Linked DNA regions of Ovis aries. The protein of the gene in region 2 interacts with the protein of the main gene of each other region in a biochemical or structural test. Links are inferred from orthologs where the notes say so. Each region holds a gene or a part of one and is shown on either strand. Other genes may lie near its edges.

Region 1 (4,013 bases), on a different chromosome or scaffold from region 2:
AGGGAATCGCCAATCTAAAGGAAACTGCGAACCAGGAAGTGCCTGATCGAGAGCCCAGGGTTAAAGAGCGAGGAGAGACTGCAGAGGGTCCAGCGAGGAGAAATGGGGAACTGCGCGGGTGGGGGTGGAGGGAGGGCCTCTGCTCCCGAGGAGGTCCGTGTGGCAATCCCATTTCCAGTTCCTCCTTTAGTCCCCTTCCCTGACTTAGCCTCTCGGCCTCACCTTATTTGGTGAGGGTAGGGCAAAGTAGAACGCTCCCAAGCCACGACAGGTGCCCCCTGCTTCCCCTTTTCAGGGCTTCAGAACATCCTCATCAATTGCCACCCACCTGACACCCTCCCCGGACCGACTTTCCCCCAGAGTAATGGCCCCAGCGGCCAAAGTAGGAAGAGCAAGGAATCTGGGATCGCCTTCGCAGTCGCTCGCATTGTTTTCGTTCTTTAGTCGCTAAGTCGTGTCCGACACATTTGCGACCCCTTGGACTCCAGTCTCCTCTGTCCATAGGATTTCCCAGGCAGGAATACTGAGTGGGTTGCCATTTCCTGCTCCAGGGGATCTTCCCCGCCCAGGGATCGAACCTGCGTCTCCTGCACTGCACGCGGATACTTTACCACTCATCCTCATATCTAACATTTATCGAGAACTCGCCCTGTGCCAGGTAACATGACTGTTTGTTTTTTTTTTAACAGCAATCTCTGAGGTGGTTGCTCTCTCATTTTACAGATAAAGAAACTGAGACCCAAAGGTAACTAAGGAATCTGTACAAAGCCAAACACCTGCCAGAGGGCAAGACCAGACTGGAAATGAGGTCTGCCTCGCCTAATCGCTGCTCCGGCCAGATCCGGTTGGGCTGGGCGACCTTTGGCCGTTGGGGACACCTTTCCACCTCTTAGCATCAACTCTGGGCATCACCGACTGCACGGACAGGAGTTGAGCAAGCTCCGGGAATTGGTGATGGACAGGGACGCCCGTGCTGCTGCAGTCCATGGGGTCGCAGAATCGGACACGACTGAGAGTGAACCGAACACAACCAACCACCCCTTAGGGTAGAAGTCTCCAAGGCCCGCCCCCGCCCGCGCGGCCCAACCCGGGCCCTAAGGGGCGGAGTCGGCCAGGTCCTGCAGGTGGGGCGGTGGGCGGGGCCTGGCTGAGGCGGGGCACCGAGGGGGCGTGACCGGAAGCCTTAAAGAGGCCGCGGCGACTGGGCCGGGCGGTAGAGGCCGCCGGTCGCGGCGATCACCTCCTTACTTTTCGGTTGGGTCGCAGAACCGTCACCATGTCCCTGGCAGCCTCGGCGGGCCGGGGCCCCGGGGCCGTGTGGTCCCCGACGCACGTGCAGGTGACGGTATTGCAGGCGCGGGGGTTGAGGGCCAAGGGTCCCGGGGGCACGAGCGACGCGTACGCGGTGATCCAGGTGGGCAAGGAGAAGTACGCCACCTCTGTGTCGGAGCGCAGCCTGGGCGCGCCCGTGTGGCGCGAAGAGGCCACCTTCGAGCTGCCGCCGCTGCTGTCGGCTGAGGCCGCGCCCGCCGCCGCCGCCACCCTGCAGCTCACCGTGCTGCACCGCGCGCTGCTCGGCCTCGACAAGTTCCTGGGCCGCGCCGAGGTGGACCTGCGGGGGCTGCACCAGGACCAGGGCCGCCGGAGGACCCAGTGAGTGTGCGGGCGGGTGGCGAGCGCGGGGAGACGGGCGGAGCGAGCACGAAGCCTGGCCGGAGCGCCGAGACCCTTGCAGAATGTGTCTCCCCAAGGGGACAGCCGGGGCCACGCCTTTGCAGAGGGGGACCCCCCAATCACCCCCCACCCCCCCCCCCAATCCCCCTCCCCCGAATCCCTCCCCCCAATCCTCCCACCCGCTCGGCCGGTTCTAGGATTCTCGCCTAGCTTCTTCTTCTTGGGCTGGCCTGCCCCGGCTCTCCCAGTAGGTGGGTTCCGGTACTTGGGGATTTTTTTTTTTTTTTTTTTTTTTGAATCTGCTGGACGGAGCTCAGCGTCTGGCATTTAGTAATCACTTCATGAATTTTTGATGAATTGAAACTATGTGTGGGCTGACGAATTCCTCTTATTAGCTGAGTAGCTGTGTATATTTGATGTAGGCATCAGCTTACGTGTAAAGCCTCCTGGGTATTTCATTGTACTGGACATCGAGCTGTGAATGGCTGGGCCGGGGCGCTGGGAAAACCAACTGGAGCAGTTAGATCCACTGACACCAAAGCCCTAGAGCCTCGCTCAGGGGCCGAGCTGGGGGCGTTACTGTGCTGGGTGGGTGTGGGTGAGGGGTGGGGAAAGGGGAACGGGGGCTGTCCAGCGAGGGCTATCCCCTACCCCCTTCTCACCAACGCCTTAAGGGTCGATCGGGAGAATTTGCCCCTCCCTCCTTCCTCTCCTCCTCTAGGAATGCTAGAACAGTTTGGTCTTAACTTTCAGGCTGAAATACACTAACCATTTTTGCCCTCGGCCCCAAATTAGTAAGGATTTCCCAGTGATGGCTGGAACCAGGGCCTGCGGTTGGCCAGGTTGAACTGAAAAGTAGGCCTTATTTCGCTCTGGAGTTTGCAAAGTTCTCTCTGGTCCTACTGAGTGGGGCGGGGAGGGGGTTGAGGGGGCAGGATGGCTGCCCACCTGTAGCTCCCCTCCCTCCTTACGATGTTTGTGTTAGGGTATCACACTCCTTTAGGGAAAGCAAAGCAAACCCCTGTGCATTCTGAACTGTTACCGGTTTGTGTTCTCTCAGTGTTTGGAATGGAACATTTGATTATGCTCATCTGGTATACCCAGAGCTAGCCTCCCTTAGAGCTTCCTCTCTGGTTCAGCAGTAAAGAATTCACCTGCCAAGGCAGGAGATGCAGGTTCTATCCCTGGGTGGGGAAGATCCCCTAGAGAAGGAAATGGTAACCCACTCCAGTATTTTTGCCCAGAAATCCCATGGACAAAGGAGCCTGGTGGACTACAGTCCGTGGGGTCCCACAAAAGTTGGACATGACTGAGCACACACACACACACAGCCTCGCTTAGCTTAATTGGTTGCTTTGCTGGACCTTAAATATGCTAGTCATGTTATCACCTAATTTCTGTGGTTTATGAAGCACTCTGATTCACGCTGTATGTTTTAGATATACATGGTATTTTAACTTTCCCTTGGGGAGGAAGCAGGAAGAGCCAGAAGATTTGATGTTACCAGACTCTCTTTTCTGTAGGTTCTTGCAAATGTTATCACTGCTTCCTTTATCCAGCCAAAGATCAACAGGCATTTCTGAGCTCGAATCAGATAAAAAGGGAGAGCCTAGAGGTGAGGATGGATGGGGTATTTTTGTGGCATCAGCTTACAAGCTGTAAGGTGAGCAGCAGCATCTTTGCTGACCAGGGGCTGAAGCAGTCCTAACTTTCTGCTTGATTAAATGACATTTGGGGCCTTGGATTTACTGTCCTTTGCCTTGTCCCATCCCAAATGTGTGGATATCATGTCTGTCTCTACCATCTGTTTCTTCTTATTCCCTTGAAAAGTAGATTGGATCTCCCTGATAGAGATAGGGATTCCAGATCTCTGGGTCTGGTGCCCACTCTGGCCCTGACTCATTGTTGGGCTTCAGGATGCTCCGTCTCTAAATACCCAAGTTTCCCCATGTACAGATGGAGCTTGTGGCCAGACTTAGCTGATATTTATAAGATGTTTCTGGATTCCTGGATTAATGGAACCCCATGTGTAGATTCAAAAGGTCCTGTTACTGCTTTGGGAGGAACGAAAACCTCCCAAAGTTCCCTATTTCAGGAAGGGTTCAGTCTCTGCGCCTTCATTTTTCTCATCCTCTCTGATGTAATTCTAAACCTTGGTGATTACTCCTGTCCCTGTTATATGAGCTTGTGACCACTTAGTCACAATATCAGCTTGTAGGAAAACCGTGCTTAGCTGATTTTTTAATAACTACAAAGGAAGCCTTCTTCGCTCCTCCAGCAGTAGGCAAAATCGCAAGCTTTCCATCTGTCGCTTCCTGGGACTTTCCAAAATGCTGGGG
Region 2 (4,165 bases):
CATAATCTAGTATATTCACAGGTCCCAAGGATTGGGATGTGGACATTTTGGGAGAGCCTTTATTCTACTTACTACAGGCACCCTTGATGAAAACTTAAATTGCACACAGGTGTAGTGAGGTTTGACAATAAATGGGTACAGCTTTTTGGCATAAACATAGTGCTTATGTACTCAGTGTGTCCCACTCTCTGGGACCCCATGGACTGGATAGCCCACCAGGCTCCTCTGTCCATGGGATTTTTCAGGGGTGGGTTGCCACTTCCTCCTTCAGGGAATGAGATCAAGCCAGAGTCCCCTGCATCTGCAGGCAGATTCTTTACCACTGAGCCATCATAAGTCTCGTCACATACAGGGAGGCCCTGGTGTGTGATCTTTGGAAATCACTTGAACCTCCCCATCCACGTTTCTGCAAAAATGGAAATTGTCATCCTTTGCTCTGCATGTTAAAGAAAATAACTATGTAACCAGGTTCAGCTTAAAGGGTGACAAATAGGGTTCAAGAAGTTCTTGATGAATTTTGATGAGGAGGGTGGGCGAGGTTCTGTGAATACATCTGGAGACAGTTTGAGAGATTTCTGGAGAGAAGGAGTGGAAAGTGCCTGCCCTCGTATGAAGTTGGAGGCTGAAAATTCTAACAAAAGCAATCAACTTTTCATGGAAGCTTTCGAAGACGGCCGAGGTTAAAAAAACAAAAAGGGTGAAGTGTAGAGGATACTTAGGAGACACCTAGGTAACAGAGTACAGAACTGAAGGAAATGCATGTGCTCTTCCTAGGCAACTGAGTTTCGTGGCATTCCCTCCCTACTCAGTTCAAGAACACATATACCCCGCAGGTGTACAAGAGTCACCTTGTGAATAAGTACATGACTTATAAAATCGTGGCCAGGGAAAAAACAAAACCCAAACCAAAAGTGTAAGGAATACAGGTTCCACCGAGATTTGAACTCGGATCGCTGGATTCAGAGTCCAGAGTGCTAACCATTACACCATGGAACCGCCACGCTCACGATCCTGCCTTCGACTCTCTAATCCTTAGAGAACCCCGCCCCCATCCACAAACCGACCACCAGAGGCAGTGCTGAAGCGCTCTCCAGTGCCCCACTTCCCCGAATAGCGGCGAGTGGAGTGAGGGAGAGACTATTATGTATGGAGAGCAGCCTCTATCAGTGAGGTAAGCCGGGAGTACAGTGCTCATTAACCCACTCGAAACCCCTCCAAGCCCGGGAAGCTTGGACAACAGACGACAAACTTGCGCACGCCCCCTTTATTGGGCTGAGGGGCGGGGCGCCGCCCCCGGAAGTACTTCCCCCTATGGGTGGGGGCCTGCCGGAAGTGGCGTAGCGGCAGGGAGGGGTTCTTTACCGGGTCCGGCAGCTGAAGCTCGGCGTTCGGGTTACCCCTGCAGCGACGCCCCCTGGTCCCACCGGTACCACTGCTGCTCCCGCCCCTTCGCTTCTCGGCCGCGCAATGGGCACCCGCGACGACGAGTACGACTACCTCTTCAAAGGTGAGGCTGTGGGCTCCGGAAGTCTCCCTGGAGTCCCGGTTTGGGGGCCCGGGACACTCCCGGGGGACCCGCCCGCGGGTTGCCCCTGCCCTGAGATCGGCCTTCCTCAGCTCTTCCTCTCTGTGCAGCTTATCCTGAGGTCCCCCAGCTCAGCCCCTTTCCTTCCACTCACGGATGGGGGTCCTCACCACACAGCGGTCTCATAGCGACCTCCCCAGAGGCCTTAGGAAGCCTCACGGTCCCTACCCTGCGCCCCTCTCGCGGCCGACTGCCGTCTCTCGAATCGCTTTCCTTCCTCCTCGGGTTCCAGGGCCCCCTTAATGGGGCGCCCACCCCCCACCATCCATGTTTTCGGGTTCAGCGCCCCCTCCCCTTCGGTATACACCCTTCCTGAGCCCCTCCGACAGGCCTTTCCCTTCGTTCTTCACCTTTCTTTAGGCGAACTCTCCCATACAGATCTTTTTCTTATCTGCCTCCCTTTTCCCTCGGGCGAACCCTCCTCTGCCCTCGGACAGCCGCCTCTCCTCGCCCTCTTCTATCCCCGGGGCCAGGCCCTGGTTAAAAATCCGAGCGGGTCGGCGGCCCCACCCCCACCCGCCCCACACTTCTCGTGGCCCGAAACCTCGCATGGCCCCCGGCATTGGTAGCTCTTTTTCTGCCTTCCCTCGGCGAGTAGTTTACGAGCTCTCCCACGTCGCTCGTGCGACCCCGGCGGTGGGGGGTAGGGCAGGAGGGATTGTCCCAGCACCCACGCGCGCACTTGTCGCAGTGACCCGGCAGACCGATGTGACTTCCCACCCAGCCTTCTTTTCTCCTACCCTCCCTACCCAGAGGCAACCAGCCTGGGATAACTCTTGACTCTGTCCGAGACTAGGGGATACGGATGGGTGGTGGCTGTTATCCTTGCCAGACCTGAAGGCCCAGTTCCTGAGCAGGAAAGGTTGTACGCTGCACAAATAGCTTGCTTTATCGCTACGGACTGGTTGCTTCCTGCTGCAACGCTGGGAGGATCCAGCCTTTTGGTGTTTTTAGAACAGGAAGGGAAGCGTCCTGGTTGGCCACATACCTTTCCCCAAAGGTGGGGGAGCATGGGGAAGTTGTGTGCTCTTTGGTCAAATTAAATATTTTTCATAAGATAGGGAACCATGTAGTGCCCTTGGACAAAACATAGTGGAGGATGGGGAGTGAAAAAAAGAATTGCTTATTGGTTAGTCCGGAAAGAATCCAAATAGTTTTGTGTTTTTTTTTTTAATCGACAAAGATAATGGGTACAGTTTTCCTTGAGAGGAAAGTACAGTAAATGCTTTTTTTGTTGGATGAATGCTCTCTCTCTGATGCTGTTTCTCTGGTCCTGAGTTAGGAGGGCAGCCATCAGTACTATGCTGAACAAAGATCATTACCAAGGAGGAAGAAGCCATTACTATTAAAGCTTTACAGTGAAGGGTGGAGTTTGAAAAGAATGTTAAGCTTAATGACTCTTTCTGACTTTGCCACTGGGTGCTAAGTATGGTTGACTAAACAGAGCAGGAAACATTGCTTTACCAGTACTCTGCAAACCTTGGCCTACTAGTTGATGGGCCTACTGCCACTTAACTCTTCTGGGCCAGAAATTCTGGCCCAGAGTGAGTACCTTCAGTATCCACTCCCACCGCCTGACAGTGGGAAGTTGTTTACAGAGAAGAGGGTACTTAATCATTTTACAAATACAAAAAAGAAACATGGATTAGTTTACATACTGTTGGCTGAAGGCTTCTGAGGTCTGGTGAAATTACTTCAGTGAGACCCTGGAGACTGGGGTTTAGTCATTAAAGGGAGATTTGTTTTTTTTTACATAAGGGCTGCTTTTGAAGTAATTAATTTAGGACAAGATAGACTGTCATTCTCTTGTTTGGTTTACAACTTGAGTGTTGGTTATAGAACCTAGTTATTTCCTCACCAAAAATACTTAGTACCTTGGATTGGCTTAAGGGATTTTAACTTAGCTTTGGGGTTTAGACCACTTTGCTAACAATGATTGAGAAAGCCCAGGGCTTTGGAATGGCACAGGCCTGGTTTCAGATTACTGCCTCAGGTCTTACATTTGCTTTGTGACCTTGGGAAAGCTGACTTTTGAGCCTCAGTTCTCTCATCTGTAAAAATAAAATAGTATCTCTCAGGGTTGTTGTGAGAATTAAGTGAGACTGTAAAGTTTTAGCTTCTTTGAGAACTCAGATAATGTTAAAGAAGTTACTGTGGTTCTCAAAAGTTTTTTTTTTTTTTTCCTTAAAACCGTAAATCTATAACTGGAAGAGCATTTAAGTATTAGTAAAGAAACTTAAAACTAGAGCCTTCTAAAGTACCTTATATTTCCACAGGTTTTGGTTTCATTTGTTGTACACTTTGCTGTTAGAATGTTTTTAAAAATTCTGCTGAGAAAGATTTCCACTTTTAAAAAAGCTCTTAATAGGATATGAGTCACTTTTTAACTTCTTTGATGATTATATAGCCAATTTCTTATTTATACAATTTTAATTTAAAAAGAAGCAACAATAATTTCAGTTTTAAATGGTTTTATGCTATGTAGATATTCCCTGAGATGAGCTGCAGCTGTCTCCTTGGAAAAAGAACCTAGCAAACTTAATAGTTGAGGGAATTGTAAATTAGTTTGTAGCTCTAACC
Region 3 (4,094 bases), on a different chromosome or scaffold from region 2:
GGGATCAGAAATCAGAGTAACAGGCAAAATGGAGTGCTGTCAGGGAAGGCTTCCTAAAGGAGGAAACCTCTGAACTGAGCTGGAAAACTTAAGTGCGGGTGGGTTCAGCCAAGACCTGCATTTGGGCTGGGTACAACTAGTGCCACGAGGGCCAGGCATGCTGAGCAACAAAAAGGAGGAGAAGAGAGCCAGGCCAGGTTCTGCAGAGCCGGGGGGCGAAACTGGGAGTCCCAGGAGCAGGGATTGGGAGCTAAGCAGGACTGGGAGGAGGCTAAGGTACAGGCCTGGAGGCTGCCATCAGCCCCAGGGCCAAGACTTTCCCGGGTTCTCAGCTTGAGGGTCCAGGGTGCAATAAAGGGGTGAGCGTGGGAACTCAAGGGAAGGGAGGAAACTTCCCCAAGATGCTGGGCGGCCCCAGGCCGGCCTTGTGAGCAGCTCTTGCTTTTCCTTCCTCCTGACTGCTCTGTCTCCCCTTACTCGCTTCTGTCCCAGGGTCCCCGCTCCCGCTCTCCCGGCCCTTGCCCAGCCCGGAGCTGGCCCTGAGTTCTGCTGGGAAGGCCCGTGCTGACCTAAGCCTGGAAACTATTCTTTAAGGGGCAGCAGAGAGGAGGGGAAGAGTAGAGGGCCTAGCTCCATCCCGCTGCAGACTGGCTAGGAATCCTGACCTGGCCCCCGACTGGCTGAGCGGCCTAGGGCAAGTAGTTCAACCTCTCTGAGTCTCAGCTTTCTCAGCGGCGAGTGGAACAAGTCCAGCGCGCTAATACAGGAAACCTCTAGGACACACTGAGCGCTCGGCACCGCCGGCGCGTACAAAGGGCGCGGTGAGCGGGGATGGGTTGGCGTCTGGTGGGGGGCTGAGGTGGGGGAGAGGCGGCTGGACCCCAGCGCGGGTGGTCCGGTGGGGGCGCTCGGGCTTCCTCGCGGACTCCTCCAAGCAGGGGCGGAGCCTTGGGGCCGCCCTGGGTTTCCGGGCGCGGGTCGCACACCCACCCTCCCGCTCTCTAGGGGACGGGACGAGCTCTGAGCGGCCCAGGGATCCCGAGCCTGGGGGCGGCGGCGGCGGGGCCGCGCGGGCGGCCGCCCTCGGAGGCGCGCGGCTCCTTTTGTCTGCAGCCTCCCGCTCCCCCGCCCGCCCCGAGCCGCGGGGCTGCGGCGCCGCTGCTGACACGGCTCGGCCGCCGCCGCCACCGGGCGGAGGCTGCGCGTCGCAGCGCCGGGCGGAGGGCGCGCGGCGATGGCGGCGGCGGCGGCGGCGGCGGCGCGGGGCGGGAGGGCGCGTGGCTCGGGCTAGCTGCGGGGCCGGCCCGGATGGCGGGCGGCGCGGGCTGGGCGGGCGCCCCCGCGGCTCTGCTGCGCTCAGTGCGCCGCCTGCGCGAGGTGTTCGAGGTGTGCGGCCGCGACCCCGACGGCTTCCTGCGCGTGGAGCGCGTCGCGGCGCTCGGACTGCGCTTTGGCCAAGGCGAGGAGGTAAGGGCCCCGCGGCGGGGGTGCCCGCGCCCCAGTCCCCCCACCCCCGGCTTCCTAGCCCTTTCACCTGCCCGCTCCCAGTCCCCGGCGGCGGCGGCGGCTGCAGCCCTGAGGCATCCCGCCGGACCTGAGGACTTCGAGCCCCGGGGCTTCCCCGCCCTGTCGGACCCTGGCTTTCCACCTTTCGCGCAGGTGCTGCGAGTGTCACGCATCGCGCCCCGGAGTGGGGAGCAGGGGGGCTTCTCTGCCCACCTTGCTTACCCCGGGCCCTGAGGGTCCCTCTAACCATTCTTCAGCCTACTCGGTATATGGGGCGGGGGGAACCGTCAGATTCTAGCTCTGGGACCCCCTCCCCTGCCTGCCCTGCGGAGACCGAATTGCAGAGGTCCGGTGCAGGAATCCCAGGACGGGGGCCGGGGTTAGGGGCGGGATGGAGTAGGGGGGAAGCACACGCCCCACTGGGCCTGGCCGAGGGTAGGAGAGGACAACTAGGGGCGCTCTACCGCCTCGGCCCCTTGACTGCACCCAGCCGGCCTGGAACCTAGCGGGAGGTGTCTGCCTTCGGCCTTCCTGGATTCTCAGCCTAGCGCCTGGTGACCACCCCTCCTCCCCGCACCCTGCGGGCTCCGAGGGGCAGGCCTGACTGGCAGCTGGCTGTGGCGGCAAGCAAGCCTGCCACAGCCAAGCTGGGGAACAGCAGCTGAGCAGTGTCTGCAACGGGGTGGGGGCCGCGCGGATCTGGGGAAAGCAGGAACAGTGTTAGCAGGGCTGTGATCCGAGGGTGGGTGCTGCCAGTAGGGTGAGCAGAGACCAGTGTCCTCTCATGCCATGGAGGAGAGGTGGGTATGTGTGTGTGGTGGGGGATGTGCAAGGCACCTACCTGGCAGGAGAGCATCCCACACTCCTGCTCCTGCCCACTCTGAAATGGTCAGGGCACGAAACCTTGAGTAGTGACTTTCCAAGGCCACCTGAGGCCTCTGGCTCTGCATTGGCACTCCCTGGCTTTCTGTTCCGGGAACAGCTGGGGCCTAGCATTCCAGAACATGGGAGAACCCGGGCCTGGTTGGGTTGGATCCATGCCTCCCTGTCACCTGGCAAGGGGGAAGGATGATAGATAATCGTCTCTTTGTGGTCGCTGGGCTGGGCTGGGGCCTGGGAGTCCCTGAGAGCGGTAGGTAGAAGAGGATGAGGCAGGTGTCAAGTCTGAGGACTCAGGTACCACGTGTGGGAGAGGCCCATTGCTGCCCGCCCTTTGGAACCCAGGCTCTCCCTCTGCCAGGATCTGCTCAGGGCGCTTTCCTGCAGCCCCTTGATCTTTCTTCCCAAAGGCTGGTCTGACCCCTCCCATCCTCTGAGGCAGGCTGCAGACCCCAGCTGGCCCTGGCTGCAACTGGAGTCCCAGAGCCACGGTCTCAATGGTGGGAAGAGCTTCCCAGCAGGCTCTGGCAGGCAGCCACGTTAGCTCTCGGTGAGCCCCTCACCAGCCCCACCTTCTCCCGGAGCTGAGCAGCTCCTCTTGTTTGCGCTTCTGCCTCTTAACACTCAGGAGCCAAACCTGCTGTCACTTAGTCATTGTGGTTCTTCACAGGGACTCACATGGGTCTCACTTCTACGTGGCAGTCTTTAAATATGTGAAAACAGCACTCCTGTCCCCTTCCCCCTCTCTCCCTCCCATCTGCCCTTCTCCAGGCCAAATACCCTCTATTCTTGAAGCCTCAGGCCATTTCCATAGGACCTGGCAGGGGCCAAACCTCTGGCTTCCAGCCCTGAAGCCCCATCAACTGTGTGACACTTTTCCTAGTAATAACATGGAGGGGCTGGACCAGGGACCCCCGGGACTGTTCCAGCCCCAGCGCATCACACACAGCAGGTGTCTGGGGGCAAGGCTGTCTTTTGAGAGGTGCCCTCAGGTTAAGTTTCTGGCCACTGAAATCCCTTGGGATCTTTCTTAGCCACCCGTGCCAAGCCAAAATGCCCCTTTATCCTGGAGGAGGATCAGTGATTTTCTTTTAAATGTATTTGTTTATTTAGGGTCTTGGTTGTGCTGGGTCTTAGTTGTGGCACGTAGGATCTTTGATTATCCTTGTGGCACGCGAGTTCTTCATTTCCAGCGTGTGGGATCTGGTTCCTTGAGCAGGGATCGATCCTATGCCGCCTGCATCAGGAACATGGAGCCCTGATTTTTCTTTTTAAAGCATAATTTTCTATCATTACAAAATCAGTTTATATGCACTGTGGGAATAGAAATATGGACAAGCAAAAACCAGAGTGCCATGTTCCCATCCCCCAGGTAGCCCCGCTGTGACACCTCGCTCACATCCTTCCAGAGCTGTTTCTATGCTTATATGTAAATTTTCTCCATAAAATGAGGTCATGCTGTGCATACTGTCTTGTAACCTGATTTTTTCCCAGTAAATGATCAGCACTTTTCTGCTCCAATAAATTCTCAGCTTAATTATTATGCATAACTTATTCAGATTTCCCTATTTGGCCCCAAAAGGCTGATCTGTGCTGTTTTGTTCAAACCACTTTCCTCACCAGAACCGTGCACTGCATCCAGTTGTTCTGACCTCTAGGTCTCTCTTTCTTTAATTCAGTTCTTTTTTTTTTTCAACTTGAATAATCCT

The links. The genes of interacting proteins can lie anywhere in the genome.
Region 1: the proteins of RAB11A (region 2) and RAB11FIP1 form a complex in vitro, tested with the Homo sapiens proteins (2 studies listed by BioGRID, with this or other methods). The link is inferred for Ovis aries from reciprocal best matches to the Homo sapiens genes RAB11A and RAB11FIP1.
Region 3: the proteins of RAB11A (region 2) and RAB11FIP4 form a complex in vitro, tested with the Homo sapiens proteins (2 studies listed by BioGRID, with this or other methods). The link is inferred for Ovis aries from reciprocal best matches to the Homo sapiens genes RAB11A and RAB11FIP4.

What each region holds. Positions count from the first base shown.
Region 1 is NC_056079.1:32,239,995-32,244,007, reverse strand, and holds the start of RAB11FIP1 (rab11 family-interacting protein 1), read left to right. Parts: upstream 1-1,212; 5' UTR 1,213-1,276; coding exon 1,277-1,653; intron 1,654-4,013. UniProt on the Homo sapiens protein: A Rab11 effector protein involved in the endosomal recycling process. Also involved in controlling membrane trafficking along the phagocytic pathway and in phagocytosis. Interaction with RAB14 may function in the process of neurite formation.
Region 2 is NC_056060.1:12,717,165-12,721,329, forward strand, and holds the start of RAB11A (ras-related protein Rab-11A), read left to right. Parts: upstream 1-1,360; 5' UTR 1,361-1,467; coding exon 1,468-1,507; intron 1,508-4,165. UniProt on the Homo sapiens protein: The small GTPases Rab are key regulators of intracellular membrane trafficking, from the formation of transport vesicles to their fusion with membranes.
Region 3 is NC_056064.1:18,348,688-18,352,781, reverse strand, and holds the start of RAB11FIP4 (rab11 family-interacting protein 4), read left to right. Parts: upstream 1-1,293; 5' UTR 1,294-1,308; coding exon 1,309-1,467; intron 1,468-4,094. UniProt on the Homo sapiens protein: Acts as a regulator of endocytic traffic by participating in membrane delivery. Required for the abscission step in cytokinesis, possibly by acting as an 'address tag' delivering recycling endosome membranes to the cleavage furrow during late cytokinesis.